2 linked regions of the Lytechinus pictus genome follow. The protein of the gene in region 2 interacts with the protein of the main gene of each other region in a biochemical or structural test. Links are inferred from orthologs where the notes say so. Each region holds a gene or a part of one and is shown on either strand. Other genes may lie near its edges.

The links. The genes of interacting proteins can lie anywhere in the genome.
Region 1: the proteins of son of sevenless homolog 2-like (region 2) and growth factor receptor-bound protein 2-like interact in a test that uses a peptide from one of them, tested with the Drosophila melanogaster proteins (2 studies listed by BioGRID, with this or other methods). The link is inferred for Lytechinus pictus from reciprocal best matches to the Drosophila melanogaster genes Sos and drk.

What each region holds. Positions count from the first base shown.
Region 1 is NC_087254.1:17,165,504-17,176,609, reverse strand, and holds the start of growth factor receptor-bound protein 2-like, read right to left. Parts: upstream 5,129-11,106; 5' UTR 4,648-5,128; coding exon 4,564-4,647; intron 1,640-4,563; coding exon 1,545-1,639; intron 781-1,544; coding exon 655-780; intron 1-654.
Region 2 is NC_087251.1:44,327,814-44,338,789, forward strand, and holds the start of son of sevenless homolog 2-like, read right to left. Parts: upstream 5,494-10,976; 5' UTR 5,414-5,493; coding exon 5,240-5,413; intron 1-5,239. UniProt on the Drosophila melanogaster protein: Promotes the exchange of Ras-bound GDP by GTP. Functions in signaling pathways initiated by the sevenless and epidermal growth factor receptor tyrosine kinases; implies a role for the ras pathway in neuronal development.

The sequences.
Region 1 (11,106 bases), on a different chromosome or scaffold from region 2:
CTAAATGACATTTGACCTTGATCATGTGACCTAAGACTTGTCAGTGATAATTGATTACCCCTATGTCAACAATTCATAAACTATATCCATAAACTTTGAAAGTTATAACAGCAATTTGATAATTACCTCCAACATGGACAAAGTTCATTGACCTTAATGACCTTTGACCTTGTTCATGTGACCTGAAACTCGCACAGGATGTTCAGTGATACTTGGATTACTCTTATGTCTGAGTTTTATGAATCAGATACATAAACTTTTAAAGTTTTTCATGGTAATTCAACAAATACCCCCAACTTGGCCAAAGTTCATTGACCCTAAATGACCTTTGACCTTAGTCATGTGACTTGAAACTCAGGCAGGATGTTCAGTGATATTTGATTACCCTTATGGCCAAGTTTCATGAACTAGCTCCATATATTTTCTAAGTTATGATGACATTTCAAAAACTTAACCTTAGGTTAAGATTTTGATGTTGATTCCCCCAACATGGTCTAAGTTCATTGACCCTAAATGACCTTTGACCTTGGTCATGTGTTAACCTTCGGTTAAGATTTGATGTTGACGCCACCGCCGTCGGAAAAGCGGCGCCTATAGTCTTACTCTGCTATGCAGGTCAGACAAAAATGTATATTGAGCACAAAATAAACTTACTTGACAGAGAGGGAGAAGTTTCCTTTACCAGGAGTGCTTTCTGAATCTCTCACCAAAAAGGCACCATCTTCCAAGTCCATAAGTTTCTCCTCTGCCATTTTTCTCGTGAGTCCACCATTATACCATCTGTTTTAGCCAAAGAAAGGCAACAAAGAAAGAGAAAGAATATCAATGGTATGAGAACAAAGATGAAAGACCTCTGGGTTTTGTGGAGATACATGTAGGTATGTATGTAGACAAAGGACAGAACTACATGTATGACGATGTACGTACATGTACGAGTGCTTTTTGGAGATATGTACAGACCTATGCGGGTTTATTGGAAATACATGTATGTACATGTGTAGATCTGATATAGATACTTGACTTTCACTAACTGTCAAGTCATGACATACTAACATCTTCCCCAATAAATATTCCCATATATGTCCATAACGTTCACATACTAACTAATACTATACAGGTAGTACAAGACTTCAAATAAAAAGCTGCAATGGATAGGGGGGGGGGGGTGGCGGCTCCAAGTTACAATTGATATTTTTATGACCCTACTATGAATTGGATGGGGATGTCTGGATTTTACCTTATAAATGCTTAAGACATATATCTTGTAGACCAAAATATTGATGACATCAATTTCAAATGCAATTTCTAATGTCACAACATTTCAATATTACTGTCATATCAAACAAATATACACACATTTAATACTTATAAGCTGTTTAAAGCACTGTTTTCGGGGGGAGGTCTCCTTTTAGACAATTTGTCTAAAATGCATACATAGTGCGCCCATCCATGTTGATATTAAGTCCTGTAACTGCAAGCTGATGTCACATGACAGATCCATTGGACATGTTCAAGCTTCATAAACAAATAAACACATGACTTACTTGTGTTCTTCAGGTTTAAGATAATTTTCTGGCACTAATCCTTTCTTTGGTCCAATGTGAGCAAACAACCAATGCCTGTCTTCTCTCTTTGTTACCTGAAAAAAGAAAAACATTCAAGATAAATTATTTTTGTAGTAGGCCTATAGGGAAATATTTTACTTATCAAATTTGATTACTTTTCCTGTAATTGCAGTGCAATTTGCTCCACATTTTTTTTAAGGATAAGTCCACCCCAACAAAAAGTTAATTTGAATAAAAAGTGAAAAATCCAACAAGCATAACACTGAAAGTTTCATCAAAATCGGATGTAAAATATGAGAGTTAAGATATTTGGAAGTTTCACTTAATTTCACAATACAGTTACCATATATACATCCTGGTCAGTATGCAAATGATAGTGATGACGTCATCCACTCACTACCTTATTTATTTTGTATTTTATTATATATTAAATATATTTTCTAATTGTAATGCTATACATGTTTGGTTCAGTCAAGTTGGTCATAATTGTCAAATCTGTAAACAAGTGGAGCATCTCTGGCAGTCTCACCTGCATCACATGATTCAATATAGCAGCAGTGCTGACTTCGAAAACTACTATTATTCACAAAAAACACCATTCATATGATACAATACTACATTCATTTACAATAAATGACATTTGACCTTGATCGTGCGACCTACGACTTGTCAGTGATACTTGATATCCATATTTATAAACTACATGTATATCTATAAACTGAAAGTTATAACAGGAATCTAATAATTACCTCCAAAATGGCCAAAGTTCAATGACCTTTGAATTTGGTCATGTGACCTGAAACTCAAAGGAGATGCTCAGTGATACTTGATTACTCTTATGTTTTATGAACTAGATCCATACACTTACAGAGTTTATGATGGTAATTCAACAAATACCCCCAACATGGCCGAAGTTCATTGACCTTCGACCTTGGTCATGTGACCTGAAATTCGCACAGGATGTTTAGTGATACTTGATTACTCTTATGTCCAGGTTTTAAGAACTAGACCAATAAACTTTCAAAGTTATGATGGTAATTCAACAAATACCCCCAACTTGGCCAAAGTTCATTGACCTTAAAGGTAAATTCCAGTTTTGGGAATGATCTCAAAATGACTTTTTACAGAATTTAATACAATGATCACCAAAGTGTCTGTTTGTATGAATAAAAAATATGTGCCAAAGGATTCTTGAAGAAATTGTGTAATTGCTGAGAAATAAGCAAAATAAGTGCGGATTCGGTCACTTCCGTCGGGTCTTTATTCCAGCAATAATAATACACTGTCCCACGTGTGCCTATCTGTGTTGGCGATCTTCAGTGTGATAGTTTTTTAGCTAGATATTATGATTTCACAAAATTCAGTTTATGTAACTGTACCAGATCTAGATCCACGATGATATATCAATACTTTACCTTGGTTTTACAGACTTTCTCACAAAATCAGTGTTTGACTGCAACTACGTTCATTTAGCTTTAAATGACATTTGACCTTAATCATGTGACCTGAAACTCGCACAGGATGCTCAGTGATATTTGATTACTCTAATGTCCAAGTTTCATGAATCAGAAATCAGATCCATAAACATTCAAAGTTATGATGGTAATTCAACAGATACCCCAACTTGGCCAAAGTTCATTGACCCTAAATGACCTTTGCCCTTGGTCATGTGACTTGAAACTCAGGCAGGATGTTCAGTAATACTTGATTAACTTTATGTCCAAGTTTCATGAACTAGGTCCATATATTTTCTAACTTATGCTGTCCTTTCAAAAATTTAATCTTCGGTTAAGATTTGGTGTTGACGTCACCGCCGCCCTCAGAAAAGCGTTGCCTGTAGTCTCACTATGCTATGCAGGTGATACAAAAATGAAATAATGTATAATTCAAGAAATAAATACCAAAAGAAATAGTGAGGGACATCATCGATTGTCTAATTTGCATGACACCGAGTTGTAGGCCTACTGTTTTGTGAAAAATACATGTAAACAAAATTATAAAATGTCATAACTTTGTCATTTTACATCCGATTTGATGGAAATTTCAGCATTATGCTAGTTTGATTTTTCTCTTTTTATCAAAATTGACATTTTTCTGGAGTGGACTTGACCTTTATCTAAAGACTGCAGATTTTTACATCACTGTAAATAAATTAGTTACAGACTTTTCTCTTAGTATTTTTGGTCATAAGAGAAAAGACACCAACTATGTTCTGTACTGTATCTGCTAAACACCTTTTGTGTAGAAAAAAAAATGTGGAGAAAATTGCTATGAAATAACAGGAAAATTACTCCTGGTAGCAGCTAAAAGGACACAAGACCCATCTTTCCTCTTCTTGAAACATATTTTGAAACACATCCCGTATCACACCTAGAAATACATGTAGTGGCATAGAAAGTGTTGTTAAATATTAAAGACATTGACAACCAGCCCAGGCCAAGGAGTAATCGAAGAGGATGCGGAAGCGAACCCTTTTTTCCATAGATACTGTAGTTAGCATCGGTCGAACATACATTATGAGCCCTATGGCCGACATCCGTCTGTGTAGCCCTAGTACTTAGTAGTAGGAAAAAAATCTGAAATGTTTTTAAAAAATCCTCAGAAACAGCGGATATATCACTCAGTCTAACTTGTCTACATCTATCCACTGGACTTCCTTTCACACTGTATAATGCACTTCTTCAATGCCAAATAGATTGAAACAGCCTTAGAAACAGGTCAATTCCGATCCAGGGCCCCGTAACACAAATCTTAGCGATTAATTGCTAATATGAAAGAACAATTCTGAATGGTTCCTTGTCAGCCAACTGAACAAAATTCACGTGCAACACTGATCGTGATAGGCCATTTCATTTAGCGATTAATTGCTAACCATTGTATTACAAGGCCAATCAATTTCTGGTGGGGAAATTTGCTCGAAGTCAGCCGGTGTGAAACCACATTACTTTAGGATTACCGCTGCCCTGAATCCTGATCTAACTTGCAATGTTAGGTCTACCTTCAATACTTCGCCTTTCTTGAAGCCAAGTTCATCCTGATCATCCTTTGATGGCGTAAAGTCAAATTGTGCCACGTACTCCATACTTTCCAATAAATCCTGCTCAATGAATGTTCATGTTATACCGTACAGACTGATCCTATTTATTGCAGGTTAATCTGCCAACAACAAAAAAACTCTCACAACAGTCTGACACTGACAGCAGCCTGTCTTGTCTGCCAATGGCAATGCTGCACACGCACTAAATCTACACACTCTTCTCTATGCGCTGAGTGAGACTCCACACAACACAAGAACCACAAGAATAAGTTCATGAGTTTGTACACACGCCTAGGCAGTGTGCGATTCCTACTCTCAACGTCTTCAAAACGAACGTCAACGTAACATTAGTCCTTCGATTGCTGTTTTCCAAAATGTGAAGAATCTATACAGGTCCCACTTGAAGAAACTTTATCATGCCTTATTGTTTCTGAGTCGTTTTTTTGTAACTTTGTTGCGAAACTTCTCGGTGTTTCCCGATCCCGTACCGTGTTGATCACCTACGTAATTTGCGGAAGTTAAAATCGTGTGCATGTTGCGCGCGTGGCGGCCCGATCAGCGCGCACTACCTCGTACCTGTACCCGTGAACTCAAAATTTATAAAAGCGAAAATTACCGAGAACTTTCCGTCCTCAAAAAGGACCCAGAAAGTACGTAGCATAATAAGAAACCGAAACAAAACATACCAGGAAAAAACACGAACAAAGAAAATAGAAGAAACAAACAAATAGCGTAGGAGGAGGAGGAAGAAGAAGAAGAAGAGTGATGTCACTTTTCAGGTATATATATATATATATATTATAAGTCTTCTTTATATATATAAATATATATATATATATATATATATATATATTATATATATATTATATATATATATATATATATATATATATATACATATATACATATATACATATATATATATGTATATATATATATATATCATATATTTGTATATATGTAAATATATGATATATATATAATTATATATACAGTGCGTATAAAAAAAACGGGACAGTTTTGAAAAGTCTATAAAAAAATTTGTTTCAAATTATGATATCTATATTTTGATGTTAATAGATGCTCTGAAATCCAATCTTTGAAATATGCCCCCCCCCCAAAAAAAAAAAAATGTCATGCTTTAGCGAACACGGGACGTTTTAGTCGGGGGTTCAAAGAGAGGCTTGCGCCAAAATGGCAGAAATGAGAAATTTGCATGATAGACTTCTTGCTAATTATCAGACTTCCTCTTAACCTTTTCATTATCTTTGCCATGATTTTCGAATATGCTGTCAAATTTCATTTACAAATTTACTTATTTACTTGAATTATTTTGGTTTTTTTTCATTGAAACTTCTTTAACATTTGAATTTCCTTCATAAGTAAGAAAAGAAGACTTTTTGTCAATCCAAGCATGAAGATTGCATTATAATTGGGAGAACTTGTAATTATTCAAATCGTATTTTATTATGAGAAACAAATTATGTTATGGTACCTTTAAATAACATGAATCCTATTTTCAAGGGATTTTTTAGACCAAGTTTAATTATGCGCTTGACAGGCCGACAAACGGGAAAGGATTCACGCCGACAAACAGGAAAGGATTCACGTCTTTCAATGGCAATGGTGTATTTAGTCAATTTTGAAGGAGCTATAGATATCTATAATGGCAGGGGTCCGTTGCAGAAAGAGTTGCGTTTAAACGCAAGTCAAAAAATCAATCGCAAGTCCCAAATGTGCGCTGATGATTGGTTGAAAATCAAGTTACGCATGATTTTTCGAGTTGCAATTGATTGCAACTCTTTCTGCAACGGGCCCCTGATCGGATGAAATGTATTTAAAAAAGTAGTGAGCGAGCAGGCAAAAATTTCCACTTTTTAAATAAAATATCAAATTTTGTGATATATTTTGACATAATATTCAGGAAAGAAATCATATTTCACTTTCTATCTTTCCTTTTATTTCCTTTCCACTTTTTTTTATTGGGGGGGGGGGGGGACGCCCCGAGCCCCCGCCCATCTGTATGCCACTGTTCAAAATCACCATAACCTTTGTAGCACACAATGAAAGGATTTGAAAAAATACACACTCTCCCATACTTCGGTTGATTTTTTTTTTTTTGCTTAAAGAAGGAAAATTTAAAGCTAGAAGAGAACATATTAAAAAGAAACAACAGACAAATTCAAGCAAATAAACAGATTTGAAAATGAATTTTGACGGCATAATTCGAAAATTATGGCAAAGATAATCTGCTGATTAGCGAGAAGTCCGATCATCATTATCATTTTATGCCATTTTGGCGCAAGCCTCCTTTTTTAGCCCCAGACAAAAACATTCCGTGTTTGCTAAAGCATGAACAAAACTAAATTTTTTTTAATGGCATTTGAAAGATAAGACTTCAGGGGCGGTATTCTGAGGTCATTTTATCTTTAAAATATTTTATTTTATCTCTTAAAACGAAATTGGTATTCTGAGATGACATTTTATCTCTCAGATAAAATTTACAATTTTATCTTGCATAAAAAATTTATCTTGCGTAACTATAGATGATACGCATCAGAACAGTGCCTGCGTAGACGATACCGATCGCGTATCTGGGTATTGCAACGCGGATGATGTGCTTGCGCCCAAGTTACTTTGAAGAAAAAAATAAAATAAACTTAAAAGAGGGTAGGGGCTATTTTATCTCCGCGACGTTGATTTCACCAATATTTCTAAAATGTTGACATAAAAATGAAGAAAAATTATATATTTATTGAGAATAACACCTTAACGTTATTCCTGTACAATCAGAAGTATTTCATAAGACTTGTCTTGACTAATATTGTCTTTGATATGTTGCTTGAAAAGATGTGATATAGACTTCGAAAAAAAATGAGAGTATTGTCCTTTTTGTTAAAAAGAAATATCTGTAAAGACGAGCAAGCGTATAGTGCAAGCGTATTTGAAGTCGATAAATTAACGCAATCTCACCCCTTTGCCACACCTCCTGGCGGAATGGATTTCAATTGGTTTAAGAGTGACACGAGAGAGCTAAAGCGCGTTTCTAGTTGGATATTGATTAAAAAGTAGGTGTGTCTTACATAGATAAAATGAAGATAAAATTGCTCTCAGAATACCAATTCGGAGAGATTTTAAGGGTATTTTATCTCACTGATTTTAACGGAGATAAAATATTTTATTTTATCTGAGATAAAATGGATCTCAGAATACCACCCCAGAGCACCTATTAACACCAAAATATAGACATCATAACAAAAATTTTATAGACCTTTCAAATCTGTCCCGTTTTTTTAATACGCACTGTAGGCCCTATATATATATATATATATATATAGTATATGTCTCATGATGAGAAAGAGACACGTACATATCTCAACAACAAATTAATGCGAGCGCGAATGCGGGCTGAATTTTTTTAGTATACTGACCTAAAAACAGGAAAAGGTACCTGTTTAGGACTGTTTGTAGTATAACTCGGGGAGGATACATATCTCACTACACAGATCAATGCGAGTGCCGAGAGAGAGATAGAATTTTGTTATATTCGGAGCTGAAAGCTCGATATTCTAAATATAGATTAAGATGGGTATCTAAAAGAACAATAGATAAGAGCGCGAAGTGCGCAAGCTGAAAATTTTGATATTTCGATCTGAAAAAATTGACAGTTCAATGGACGTTTTTAATAAAGAACAATTAATATATCCAACAAAAGATCTTTTGGGGTTTAATATAGAAGTGAAAACGGCACATTATTCACCTATTTAATCATGCGAGAGCGAAGCGCGAGCTGAATATTTTTATATTCCAATCTGAAAAGCGGACATTCAATTTGAGCACGATTTTATATAAAGAACGAGTTTTTGTATTTCAAACTCACTTGCCGATTTCTATGTAACATTACAATGTGATTTTATTTTTGCACATCTGGAATTATGGGGGGGGGGGCAAAACAATATGTTTGCCCCCCCCTGGTGGGGCGATCACCCCGCTGCCCCCCCCCCCCCCCACTCCCGGATTGACGCCTCTTGATGTAGACATGATGAGATGATTATCTGGATGGCACTTTAAACTTCCATAATTAAGAACTCGTGAATTTTCATGAAAAGGATTATCTCAATCTATAACAGGCCTATTTGCATGACCGTGAAATGGTGCTATTAAGCACCATTTCAGCCTATGATCGCCTATATGTATCTCATCAGTAAATGACTGGCAATGCGAGCACGAAGCGCTTTTTTTCATACTGACATTAATTTTTTTTCCAAGTCTTCGATCCCGCGGCCCGGCCGCCCTCACCTATATTATGTACTCGTCTTCCTCCTCTTATATTTTTCTTCTTCCTTCAATTCTCCTCTCCTTAATGACCCTTCAATATCTGTTTCTCCCCCCCCCTCTTTTATTTTTTTGTTGCGCCGTTAATAGGCCCCCCGGGGGGCGGCCCATGGGGCGGCCCAACTGTTAGTTGAGCTCTAGATCAGTGGGGGGGGGGGGGGGGGGGGCGGTGGCGGCGGCCCCTCGCCCTCCTGGATCCGCCTAGCGCACTCCGGACTCAAGCTGGATTGCGCGCGCTACGATCTAGCGCGAGCTGAACAATATTACGTCATTCAAAATGTCTGCGCCCTTGTCATAATATAATCTGAATGCAGAATTTTTGGAGGATGTTGTATTGAGGTGATTTAAAGAAAGTATCTGCAGTATAGTTAGTAGCCTTCTCTCTAAAGCACCCTGTTGGGGACAACATGGGGAGTAGTGCTAGTAGCAGCGCCAGTGGCAGCGAAAGTGAAGAAGAAAACAGCGATTATGAGACGGTAAGTTTGATTCTCCGTCAACTTCTCGAACTCGGCATCCCTCGGCCCTGGCTGCGCAGCTGCGCCAGCGCCAGCCGCCGCCGCTACGCCAGCTGCTCGCCTCGTTTAATTCATGCGCATGAGGCAATGTAGTCGAGTTGAGGACGTACCAATGATGATGACTTTTAGAATAATGAAATATATGATGGAGGGACCTAAACTTAAGCTACGCACTTTGTTTTCAAACAATAAAAACTATCCCAATTTTAATATTTCAACAAATATCTTTCACTAATTTGTGGCAAACATAATTTCTAGATCATTAACCAAGTCCAAGTCCAAGAAGAAAATATCGCAAAACTCACAGTCACTAATACGAAAATCCCGCCGTGTTTTCCGAACACCTCTTGATTTCGCCACCCGATGTAGAAGGGGTCCTATTATTATAGGTTAAAATGATATTTAAGCGAATATAACTCCAAAATTCCAAACAGTTGTTGGTTTCTCTGCATTTAGAGATTTACTGCAGCCTCTGTAGAAAAAAATTGAATAGGAATCGTTCGTCACTCTGCAGTCACAGTTCCACACACAGAGTGCGCATTTGCCATAAAAACTGTATGCGTGATGAGTGGTGCGTAGCTTTAGGACCCGCGCAGCTTTACTCCTTTAGGACCCCCTACCATACTTCTTCATCATTGACGTCTTGACACTCTTCCCATAGTCGCAGAAGAGAAGGACCAAAAAACAAAGATGGATTTCCCTCGGAAATCCATCTTTTGAAACAAAAATCACTTGAATTTTATGAATTTCATTGATTTTTACACCTTCCTACGCCTAATGTGTAGCCATAGGAAGGTTTTAAATATTATAATATAAAAATGTGAAAAAATTAAGGTTTCTTACCTAACTGATGCCGAGTAGACCCCTCGATCCACATGTAAACAACGTAAGTACAATAGTGTCGACCCTTGAACCGCTTATGGCGCACGGCCAATATGGGAGACTCTCTCCAATAGGGGAGACAATCTCCCACATTGGAGACTTGCTTTGCAAAAGGACAAAAGAAACAACACCAACAAAAGCAAGATTTTTTCCACCCAAAATTTTGTCTCACTGAGGTCAGAAGCACATTTGTATTGTGTGATTGACAAAAATCCTTATCAAAACAAAAGTAGACGGTGAATTTTTAAAGTAGACGGTGAAAAGGGGTAATTTTTCATGAGGATTTGCCGCCAAGTTAATCCTTTTGCAGCAAATGTAAACAAAGGAAATTGGACTCCAAAACTGGAGACTGTCTCTGAAATTGGATACCCAAATTCTTTACAAAAGTCTCTGATATTGGAGATAATCTCCCACATTGGAGACAGTCTCCAATATTGGCCGTGCGCATCTACTGATGTATGACGTACTTCCGGCTAGCGATGCCGTTCGCAAATGTTAAAATTTATCATGTAATTATAGATAATTAGTATAATACTAATAATTATTTATAATCAAGTAATAAATTTTAGTATTTGTGAAATAATCATTTTTATCTATAAATTGTTCGTCAAAACGGTATTGCTAGCCGGAAGTACGCCATACATAAGCGGTTCAAGGGTCGACGCTATTGTACTTACGTTGTTTACATGTGGATCGAGGGGTCTACTCTGCATCAGTTAGGTAAGAAACCTTAATTTTTTCGCATTTTTATATTATAATTTTTAAAACCTTC
Region 2 (10,976 bases):
GAGCAATCTTCTTATTATTACTACCAGCAAAGGGGTGAGAGGAGGATGGATGGAAAGGGAGACAGAGGATTGAGAGAAAGCAACAGAGAGAGAGAGATAGAGGCAAACTGGATGATATGTGACGAGCATTATAACATGTACTTCTCATTACTACTGGCCAAGGAGAAAGAGGGGGATAGATGGAAGATGAAGGATATCAAGGATGGAGAGAGAGCAAGAGAAAGATAGAGAAAGGGATAGAGGAAGACTGGATGATATGTGATGAGCAGTCTCCACGTTACTTCTGACGGAGAGAGAGATAGATAGAGGACAGAGGAGATACAGAGAAAGAAAGACAGAGGATGATAGAGGCAGACTGGATGATATGTGATGAGCTGTCTCCACGTTACTTCTGACGTAGGAGAGAGAGATAGATAAATGGAGGGCAGAGGAGATACAGAGAAAGAAAGACAGAGGGAGATTGAGGAAGACTGGATGATATATGATGAGCAGTCTCCACGTTACTTCTGACGTAGGAGAGAGAGATAGATAAATGGAGGGCAGAGGAGATACAGAGAGAGAAAGACAGAGGGAGATAGAAGCAGACTGGATATGTGATGAGCAGTCTCCACATTACTTCTGACGTAGGAGAGAGAGAGGGAGAGACAGATGGAGGGCAGAGGAGATACAGAGAAAGAAAGAAAGAGGGAGACTGGATAATATGTGATGAGCAGTCTCCACGTTACTTCTGATGTAGGAGAGAGAGAGAGAGATGGAGGGCAGAGGAGATACAGAGAAAGAAAGACAGGGAGACTGGATGATATGTGATGAGCAGTCTCCATGTTACTTCTGACATAGGAGAGAGAGATAGATAAATGGAGGGCAGAGGAGATACATAGAAAGAAAGACAGAGGGAGACTGGATGATACATGTATGTGATGAGCAGTCTCCATGTTACTTCTGACGTAGGAGAGAGAGAGAGAGAGAGATGGAGGGCAGAGGAGATACAGAGAAAGAACGAGATAGAGGCAGACTGGATGATATGTGATGAGCAATCTTCTTCTTCTCATTACTACTGGCACACATCCAATATCTTGCATACTACATGTAAATGTGTAGCATGTATGTATGTATGGGATGATGAAGCCGCGACGGCAATAGATTGATTGGAGTGAGATTCACTCCCAGGGATGCTGCCCGGAGCCAGGGGCTAGTTTCAGTTTCTTTCCCAGAAACCATAGTAAAATCCCTAAACAAAGAAAACGACACTCAAATTTCATGCGAAAGGGCAGGAGGGGACGCACTTGTAGTATGGCAGGCTCGCTGGTCGAGAGACAGCAGAATATCAAACTGCTTGCTTGTGCTAGATCTCGCCTCAGTGGTGTATCAGTTGTGAATGAAGTGAGTTTTAGTGGGTACAGGTGGTTTAAGGTTTTATAGAAAAGTTCTACAAGGGGCTTCACTCTGACTATTGGTTTGTTATATTATGAGAGCAGGAAAATAATGATCAAAATAATAAAATTACAAACTGCCAATGGCGGCATAAATACAAAGTTTAATCCCAGAATCATGAACATTAATTGCCATCAGTTAATGTCTGCAAAGAGGAATTACAAATTTATTGCCAATATTCTTACCCTATTCAAAGAGGAAAATTAGCTTTGACCTAAATATATACATGAAAAACAAGAGTCAAACATATTTCATTGGAACCATTGCCATGATATTCAATTTCTAAGCAAACTTTGGGCCATGAAATGTATAGATGAAAAAATCACAATCAATTTGTAAAATCAAAAAATACAAAATTATATATACTACTTTGTATGATAATGGTAATTCTAGCAGAAATAACTCAAAGAGCAGCTTTTTGATTTGGTTGGGTATCATTTTCAATCCTGATGAAATGAAAATGTGCAAAAACAAAATTGTGTTTTATGAACAAAATTAATCATCAACAAAACCAAAACGTTCTTTAAATGCAACTCCATCTTTCATATCTCTTGAATGGACTAAGGTATTTAATACTCTCAAGGAAATGAAGAACAGAAATTAATTCAAATTGATTTCACAAACGCTCTGATATGGAAAAAAGGTAGTTACACTGTCAGCCACAACACTGTTCTCCAAGAAGGCGAGAGTACAATTCAAACATTTGGTAAGAAAGGGAAAACCCCTACATTTCTCTCCAATCTAGTAGCTGCCCTGGAATTTCTCTAATTACGTATTCTACATTCTGGTCAGCAAAACATTCTGCTCATTTTTGTGCTATTGATACAGATTATGTAACATTGTAGATAATGCTACAACAGAATTCATAACAAAATATGTATTACAAAGGTTAGAGAGATCAATTTATCTAGTTAATCTATTTCAAACACCCTTCTAACTGTTCTAAGCTTAGATTAGAAAAGCTTTCTTAAAGACCTGGGGGGTGTTTCACAAAGACAAAGATTTAAGTATGACTTAAATCGCTAACGCGTATCTGAAATGCAACGCGCAATGTAATTGATCAATATGCAGTAGTGCACGTCCTCTTCGCATGATCTGACCAATGCGGTCATGCCTTTTCAAATGCCGCAACTAGGCATTTAAGTGCGACTCTAAGTCATACTTAAATCTTTGTGAAACACCCCCTGGGGGCATTTCATGAAACAAATAGTGATTTTTACTAACTATTGTTATAAGCTACTATAAACCTTTCTATCTGATTGGCTGAAAGCAAAGTAATCGACAAAAATCACAGAAAAAACTTTTCATGAATGTTCCCAGCATAATTACAATCAAGTAGGTAATGTTCCTATCGAGATGCAGAGCAAAGTACATTTAACAATTTTCTTCTTTCAGAATAAAAATGAATTTGTTATTAGTGCAGAACTTTGACCCATTAAAAAAAAATTCATGCTCGATCATTTATTCTTATCACGGTGGGGGAAATGATATGTGCAAAATTGTGCATATACTTTAATCTGGGGGTACAAAAATAAGTCAGTTATAATACTTAGACCCATGCCACAACCCCACATGGACTTTAATTATAAAGGAATTTTACCACAAATGTTCATCTTATTAACAGTGAGCACATAATGTGGGGTTTAGGAGAGTAAGAAAGGAAGAAGTGAAGCAATGTGATGATTCATCAAGTTTTTTAAAGAGAAAGACGATGTCTTGAACATGTAGGAAGATTTGTCCTTTCCTTATATTTCTGAAAAATTATCATGCTACCCCATTATATCATTACATGGAGCCAACAATATGACATACTGAATCCACATTAATATTTTCTGAAAATATACATTTACTGAAAAATATCAATTTCATATTGATAATCTTTATAATTTACTCTTTATTTCATAGAGTAATTTCATTCCTTTTTAGTCATTACAATATACAAACACAAACCTCCCCAATTAATAACCAAGGTTAAGAAAAAATGTTTCCAGGAAATTCAGACATTCCAAAACAAGCAGTGAATTTTTAGCTTTGCAAAATACCTGGAGCGTAGCATGCAATTATTGCAGGATATTTTCTCAATACAAACGATGTGTCTGTCCTCGCAAGTGCAAATACATGCAAATGTACTTCTCTTTATTAATAATCTCTTCTGCAAATATGAAAGATTACTTAACTCTAAATATTTTTATTAATATTATTCTTAATCATTCTACATGTTTGACTACTGTCTAGACAAGGGTTTATGCTTTTTTTTTAATATCTCTATTAAAAAAGTTGAATATTGGTTTTGGGGTGGAGGTTGAAACAAACAGGTAAAATATAACTGAAAATTAATAAGCAAATGGACAATCCATTCTCAAGTTGTTCAGTTGACAATTAAAAATGCTCCATAAGCAGGCCCTCACACCTCAGCAATCTTTAGGAAATAGAATAACTTATTAAATAGAAATGTACAAATATCAGCATGGTTACTATGATACAAGTTCTGAGATTTTTCTGTCTGAGAAATGGTGGTAAATCACATGGTCATTCCTTAAAGCTGGTTTTTCTTTTCTAACCAAGTGATAGATGAGTGGAACAGTCTCCCAGAAGATGTAGTTACTGCTTGTTCAGTGATTGCATTTAATAGACTGGATAAGCATTGGGAGAAGATTGCCTATGATTTTGAGTCATTGTTGTGTGTTTTTCATGGAATTTTTTGCTGTCTACAATACCCCTGCCACCCCCCCCCCCTGCCAACACAAGTAGTGCATCTAATTTTGTCTGAAGGAGAGCAGCAATAGACATCCTACTTCGATCGTTGAACGGGCTTAGTCCTACAACATCGTTGGAGTGAACTAAACTAGTCTACAGTATATGGTGAATAAATCTTTACTTTCAAATACATACTTGTATGAATTATTTTTGTGGGGCAGCTAAACATTCACTGATACATTTCTAATTTATGAGCAATTTACTGAAAAATTAAAACAATTACAAAAAATTAATACATGAGGTATATCTGCAAGAAGTATTTGTGCGAAATTCTTTACCAAAAAAAAAGAGCGAACCCTGTTATCAGCAACCAAAATGAAGACAATTGAATTCAGATCAGTGATGCAACATAACATGAGAGCTCCCCACAAAGGAAGCCCCTGACTAGCAAATTTGGTTTGATAATTTTTGATTACCTACAAATAAAATTAATAACTTCCTAATCTTTTATCGAATTATGCTCACATTCTGTTTCTCCTATTGTCTGATTTATCACAGGCAGCATGATACTAAGAGAGACTTCCCTCAAATTAAAAGTGATAAAGTCTGCTTGCTACTTGAATTATAGTAGGCAGACCTCATACGGACGGACGGACGTACAGTAATCTTCAGAATCAGCATTAATACTTCTTACCACACTGGAGTAAGAACAGGTGCACAAAAATACTTTCTGAAGAAATTGACCCACCCCAAATATATACATGAATATATTAATGTATATATTTTTCAAACTAGTGCTATCTTCTATGACATAGCTACAACAATTTCAATGGAAGGGATTCAAAGTGAAAGAAAAATGGAAGACAATTGAAAATGTATTTTTGTTAATCATCATTATACATATTTGATTTCAAGGAATATCCCTAACAATTCAATCACTCCTCGGTAGTGTTTCCTGAAGCAAATAGTCAAGAATTTTCACTGACTAATTTGTTCGAAGCCAATCAGATGCAAGGATTTCAGTAGCTTTTAACAATTTAAGTGAAAATCACTAACTCTTTGTTTCATGAAATGCTCCTTTGGGTATATCTGCACGAAAACCCAAACTCACCTTCAAGAGCTGGTGGATCTTATCCACCGGGAGGACAAGGGGTGCCTTCTTGCGCCCCTTCTCCAGAGCCAGCCGGGCGTCGTTGATGGCCCACTGGTCGATGGGGCGAGGGAAGGTCTTCTGGACCCTGTCCTCGATGTCGTGGACGTTGTGGGGCTGGACGCTGCACAGCATGTTGAGGAGGCAGATGATGAGGCTTTCGATGTATTCCAGGGAGTCCTCATCGGCCTGCAGAGTGGAGTGGACCTGCTGCTGCACCTGTACAGAGGGTGGGAGGAGACAGCGGAAGAGAGATTATTTTATTTATTATTTTATTTTTTTTACCGTGGTCACCCTTTCAGTTATGAAAAGTGCTAAACAGTCCCTTTATCACAAAGTAAAACACGTCAAACATCAATTCGTTAAGTACACTAATAACAAAAAATTAACGAAGCATAATACTGAAATGAGAGAAATGAAGACTTAAATACTATTTAACAAATATTCTATGTGGGGGTAATCAAATTGCAATAATTTGAAACAAATTAAGTAGATTTAACTAGTGGAACGCCTCTGGCAGTCTCGCCTGCATTACACGTTTTGATATAGCAGCAGTGCTGACTTTAAAAACAGCTATTGAATAATTATTCAAAAAAAAAACATTCATATGATAATAAAACATTATGTCCATTGACCCAAAATGGCCTTGTGACCTGAAACGTGCACAGGATACTCTGGGATACATGGTTGCTCTTATTTCAAAGTTTCATGAACTAGATCCATAAACTTTTAAAGTTACAATGACAATTCCACAAATACCCCAAATATAACCAAAGTTTGTTGACCCTAATTGACCTTTAACCTTGGCCATGTGACCTGAAACCTGCACAGGACCTTTAGGGATACTTGATTACCCTTATGTCCAAGTTTCAATAACTAGGTCCATATACTTTCTAAGTTACGATGACATGGTTAAGATTCCAATGTTGACCAACGCCGCCACCGCCATCGGAAAAGCGGCGCCTATAGTCTCACTCTGCTATACAGGCGAGACAAAAATCACGATTGAAAGTGAGAGAGATGGGGAGAGGGTGTGCTGTTAACTGAATTCTAAGACTAGAGCATGAACTTTTTTTCTTAACCATAAATTTCCTACATGAATTTAAACAATACCAGCAATGAACGTAATTTCTAGCTATTTGTTGTTAATGTACAATTTAAAAAAAACCATGAAATGTGGAGGTACCATACATGACTTCATGTATAAATCAAATAAATAATAGTGTTCTATAGCATTCACCTGCCAATCCATTTCGAAATCATTTTATGACAATACCACACCATGGAATTAATAACAATAAAGAGTACTGGGGCCCGTCTTACAAAGAGTTGTGATTGATCCGATCAACCGTAACTATGGAAAGCCAGCAAAGTCAACATATAAAATGCATGTTTGTTCAAAAAAAATTCTAGTAATGAATGTATATTCGTAAATTGATTGATTTCTTGACAATTTGGTGTGTTCTCCCTTGTTTAAAAAGGACATTTTGCAAATTTCCTGTAGAAAAAATTATGACACTGGTGGATTTCCATAAAGTTACGATTGATTGGATCAATCACAACTCTTTTTTTGGAGGGGGCCCTGGCATTACAACCAAATACAAAGCCAAATTCAGTTTGACTACATTTGAGTGACTTTACATTTGCATAGCAATTTAATATCAATAACCAATGAAAATCATCGATTGTTTGGGTCACATACATATAAAAGCAAATGGTTGTAACTATTGCATAATGTAATTTTTAGGATTTGAGACAAATTAATATACTATGTATTTAATATTCATAGACCTAGTTTACATACATACAAGAGAACTTTTGCTGAGCTAGCATCATGATCATTTTTAGATGGTGCATGCGATCTACAAATCTTCATTATTATTAATATCATCATTAATTGATGGCCATAATTTCTTACTTTTATTTTAGTATTCATACAAATTCTTGCAAATTGCAATATTGCACATTTTTCATGACATCAGACACACAGCATATATACATACATGTACATAACAAAAAAAATATTGGACGAGCCTTGTAAATAATCTTCAATAACAAGATTCCATGCATATTTTCACAGTTCTCTAAACTTGAGCTTGAATCCAATTACCGGTAATACAAATATTTGGGCAAAATCAAATGTAACAATTGATGTGAATGACAATTTAGACTCTTTGTTGAAAGAGCATAAAGACATTCTAGTCGAGAACTAGTCTACAAATGTAGACCCACATCTGCAGTGTGTGTACCACAGCTGATTCAAGGAGTCTGCATAGCAGACTAGGTCTACTGTGGCTGCAGATGGCTCACTTTGCTCGTCCTTTCAGGCTGGTTTGCGAAGCAAACCAGCAGCAGCGCGCTTCGCGCACTGAGATCCCACCTCACGAGCCATTCAGAGTCTGCATAGCAGACTAGTCGAGAACAGGGACTCCCTTCACACTAGTAGAGTAGTGTACTTTATAGAATATCAAGAAGTTTAGAGTAATGTACAGTAAATATGCAAGTAAAATATTGAAAATAGTAGTAGAAATCTAGGTAAAATAAATAGATGTGATGTGATGATGACCAATGAGTCATAATGGTACTTTATCAGTCAGAGCTTGCTCAATTTAAGGATTCTACCAGGGGAGTGTTTCATGAAACAAAGTCATGTTCACTTACAACTGCTATAAGCTACTGAAATCCTTGCATCTGATTGGTTCAGAACATATAGTCAGTGGATATTGGCATTTTGTACTCCTTGAGATGGCAATGTATTGAACATCCTAAATATTTACTGAAACATCCTGCTGCTACATGTAGTTAACTCTTGATTGCAAACAGAGATGAAGCCCAAGAAATATATGGTTTCCAGTTTCTTCATTTAAAAAACAATCTTGATGTTGTTTATTAATTGCTGGGCCAGAAATAGCAGGGTAATTTGAAAATTTTGACTGGTGAAGCCTTAGGTGGTTTCAGACTGCCTCGAAGTTCGCCAGTTCCAGGTATTCTCTGATCGGGAAATTTACCCCGATCAGAAAATACCAGGTATTTTGGCGGTGTGAAAGCAAACTACGCGTAATATCCCCGAAAGAAAATACCCGATAAATAGTAGGTACTTGGCGAAATTACGAGAACTTTCGCGGGGATTTTTCCAAGGTCGTGGGTATTTTGGCGGTCTGAAAGCAAATTACGGGAACTTTTAGCCCAGCATGTCGTTGGGTGCGGCGCCGTGCATGGGTTGCTGCTGGGCTAGTGATTTTGAATTTTGCGCCTTGCTGCTTATCAGACCATACTGCGCATGCTCGTAACTTCAGGAACTTATCCTGAAGGGTATGTTTCAGGGCGGTGTGAATGCAGGAATAATTAATGGGTATTTTTCAGCCTAAAAAAGTTCTCGTAATTTAACGGGGATTCTTGTGATTGAGGCGGTTTGAAACCACCTCTTGTGACCATATTCATTGCCTTAAAAAGTCCACCCACTGATTACTTCACCAAGAGAGTTATGATACATGTATGCCTAGTAGAAAGCCCTGGTAATCCAGGCAATGAATTCATTTGAAACGGCAAGGACATCCACAAGTTTCACAAGGCCATGGTCATTCTCGGAATCGAATAGGGCAGTGCCACAGTCACACCGGTGAAACCGACTCCGCATTGACCGAAGCCATTGCATGCATCCCTAATAGCAAGTCATCTGTCAGTTTGGGGTGGTTTCATCATGTGAATGTGCCATTAGCTTGTGCATGTAGTAGGAGGTAAAGGACAGGGCCCTGTTTCATAAAACTTGTAACACAAATAACAAATTTGCAATAACAGTTTCAAGCTACCGAAATCGATCAATCTGATTGGCAGATAGTAAACTTGTTAAGGAAGTTGTACATTTGTTATTTAATATAACTTGTCTTTATGAAACGGGACACAGGAGTAGTTTCACTTATTCTGAGCAGGCCAGAAGACTAGTTCCTGTTGCAATATGGAAATATTTAGGTCGTTTCCTCCTGGTTTATGGGACCTGGTTTTCGTTGCAAAAGGTGAAAACTTTCTTGTTATGGTAACTTTGCCATAAGTGGTATCTACCATTGGAAACACTGATTTTTTTTATTGGATGCCAAGTCCCGTTTCCATGGTAAAAACCATCACAGTAAATGTAACTTTGTTTAAAGCAGGGCCCTGGACCTTACTCCAATGAGGAAGATCTCAGACGATTTTATTCTACATTGTAGATGTGTAATACTCGTTAACTTTCTATCGAGCATTGGTAGTCACTGAATGACTTAAATCTTTGCTCACTCTTACCAATATGTATGTAAGCCTATTGGAAAACTGGTTGAATTTCAAGCGTGCATGTCTAGCCACAAACTATAGCATTTCGTCATACAATGTCCTAATTCTGTGCATGCGCTTGTCGCATTGCCCAGTTACTAAAACGAGTCATTACGCAATTAATTCATACAGTGGTTTGTACGAATGGTGTGAAAGCGCTGATAGTACCAGTCTGCGAAGCCTCCGTTGCGTGCTCGTTCTTTTACCAGTCTCCTACCCTACAGGTATAAACCATTGTTTATTGTTGATCCAGCGATCATAAATCATTACACACAATCATTTCTGTCTGCCTTTGCTCAAAGGCTTGGTGGGATTAGAGGAGTCCAAACTATCAATTATATCATTCAAGTATTCTACCCCCTTTGCCATCACCCAAACAGAAACTAGGCCAAGTTGCAACAAGCATTATCATGAGAGTTCTATCATATTGTCTACAACACTGGTATACGGCCTGTCTGTTTTTAAAGGTAATGGTAATATGTCCTTACTGCATGCTCTACACACATGTACTACATATGATCACATGATGCTAATAATATCACATGTTTGGTTATCGGTCGAAGAATTGGGTCCAGCCAAAATATGCTTTAGGTTTAAGTGCTGTTGTACATGTATACCAAACCTTTCTTCTGAAACTATCTTTCACAAGATATGGGTCTGTTTTGGCAGAATTAGGGTTATAATATATGTATCATACAATAGCGTAATACAGATTTTCTGTTGTCATACATGTCACTGATTTTACCACAATCAAGCAAAATGACCAAGTGTTTATTATGAATAAACAAAGGAAGCAAATATATATATATATATATATATATATATTACTTTTAGGTATTTCCCAGGTATTTCCAAGTATTCCTGGATATTTCTTCATATATTGTATTTCCTCAGTATGGTAATTTTCCAGTACAGCCAAGTGCCATCTTTCTTCATTATTCACAATAGGCTATAATAAATATTTGTTTATATTCTAAACTCCCAATCAATTCATTGTATATTCATTGCCTACTACATCACTTTTGTTATCATTTTCATGTCAACTTTGGAATGAAATTGATTTATATATTTACCATTATAATCATTCATTATATAACTATTATAGTTGTTATGATTATCACTAGTATCACCCCCACCCTCATTAATAAAATAATCATCACAATCTTTTATGACATCTGGGTGAATTCCAATTCATCTTTCAGATTGTTATCCAAAAACAAAAAAAGAGTAACCCATATTTGTTAAGGTCAGGTGGGAGCCAATGGGTGAATAATAAGTGAATTTCTAATGACCTGTCTCCTACACTTTGTCTGGTGATATGGTGAGGAGAGCTCGTGTCTACCTTGGGTCTATAAGCCTACGATACCCTGGATCGGCTGGTCAGTAGACAGAC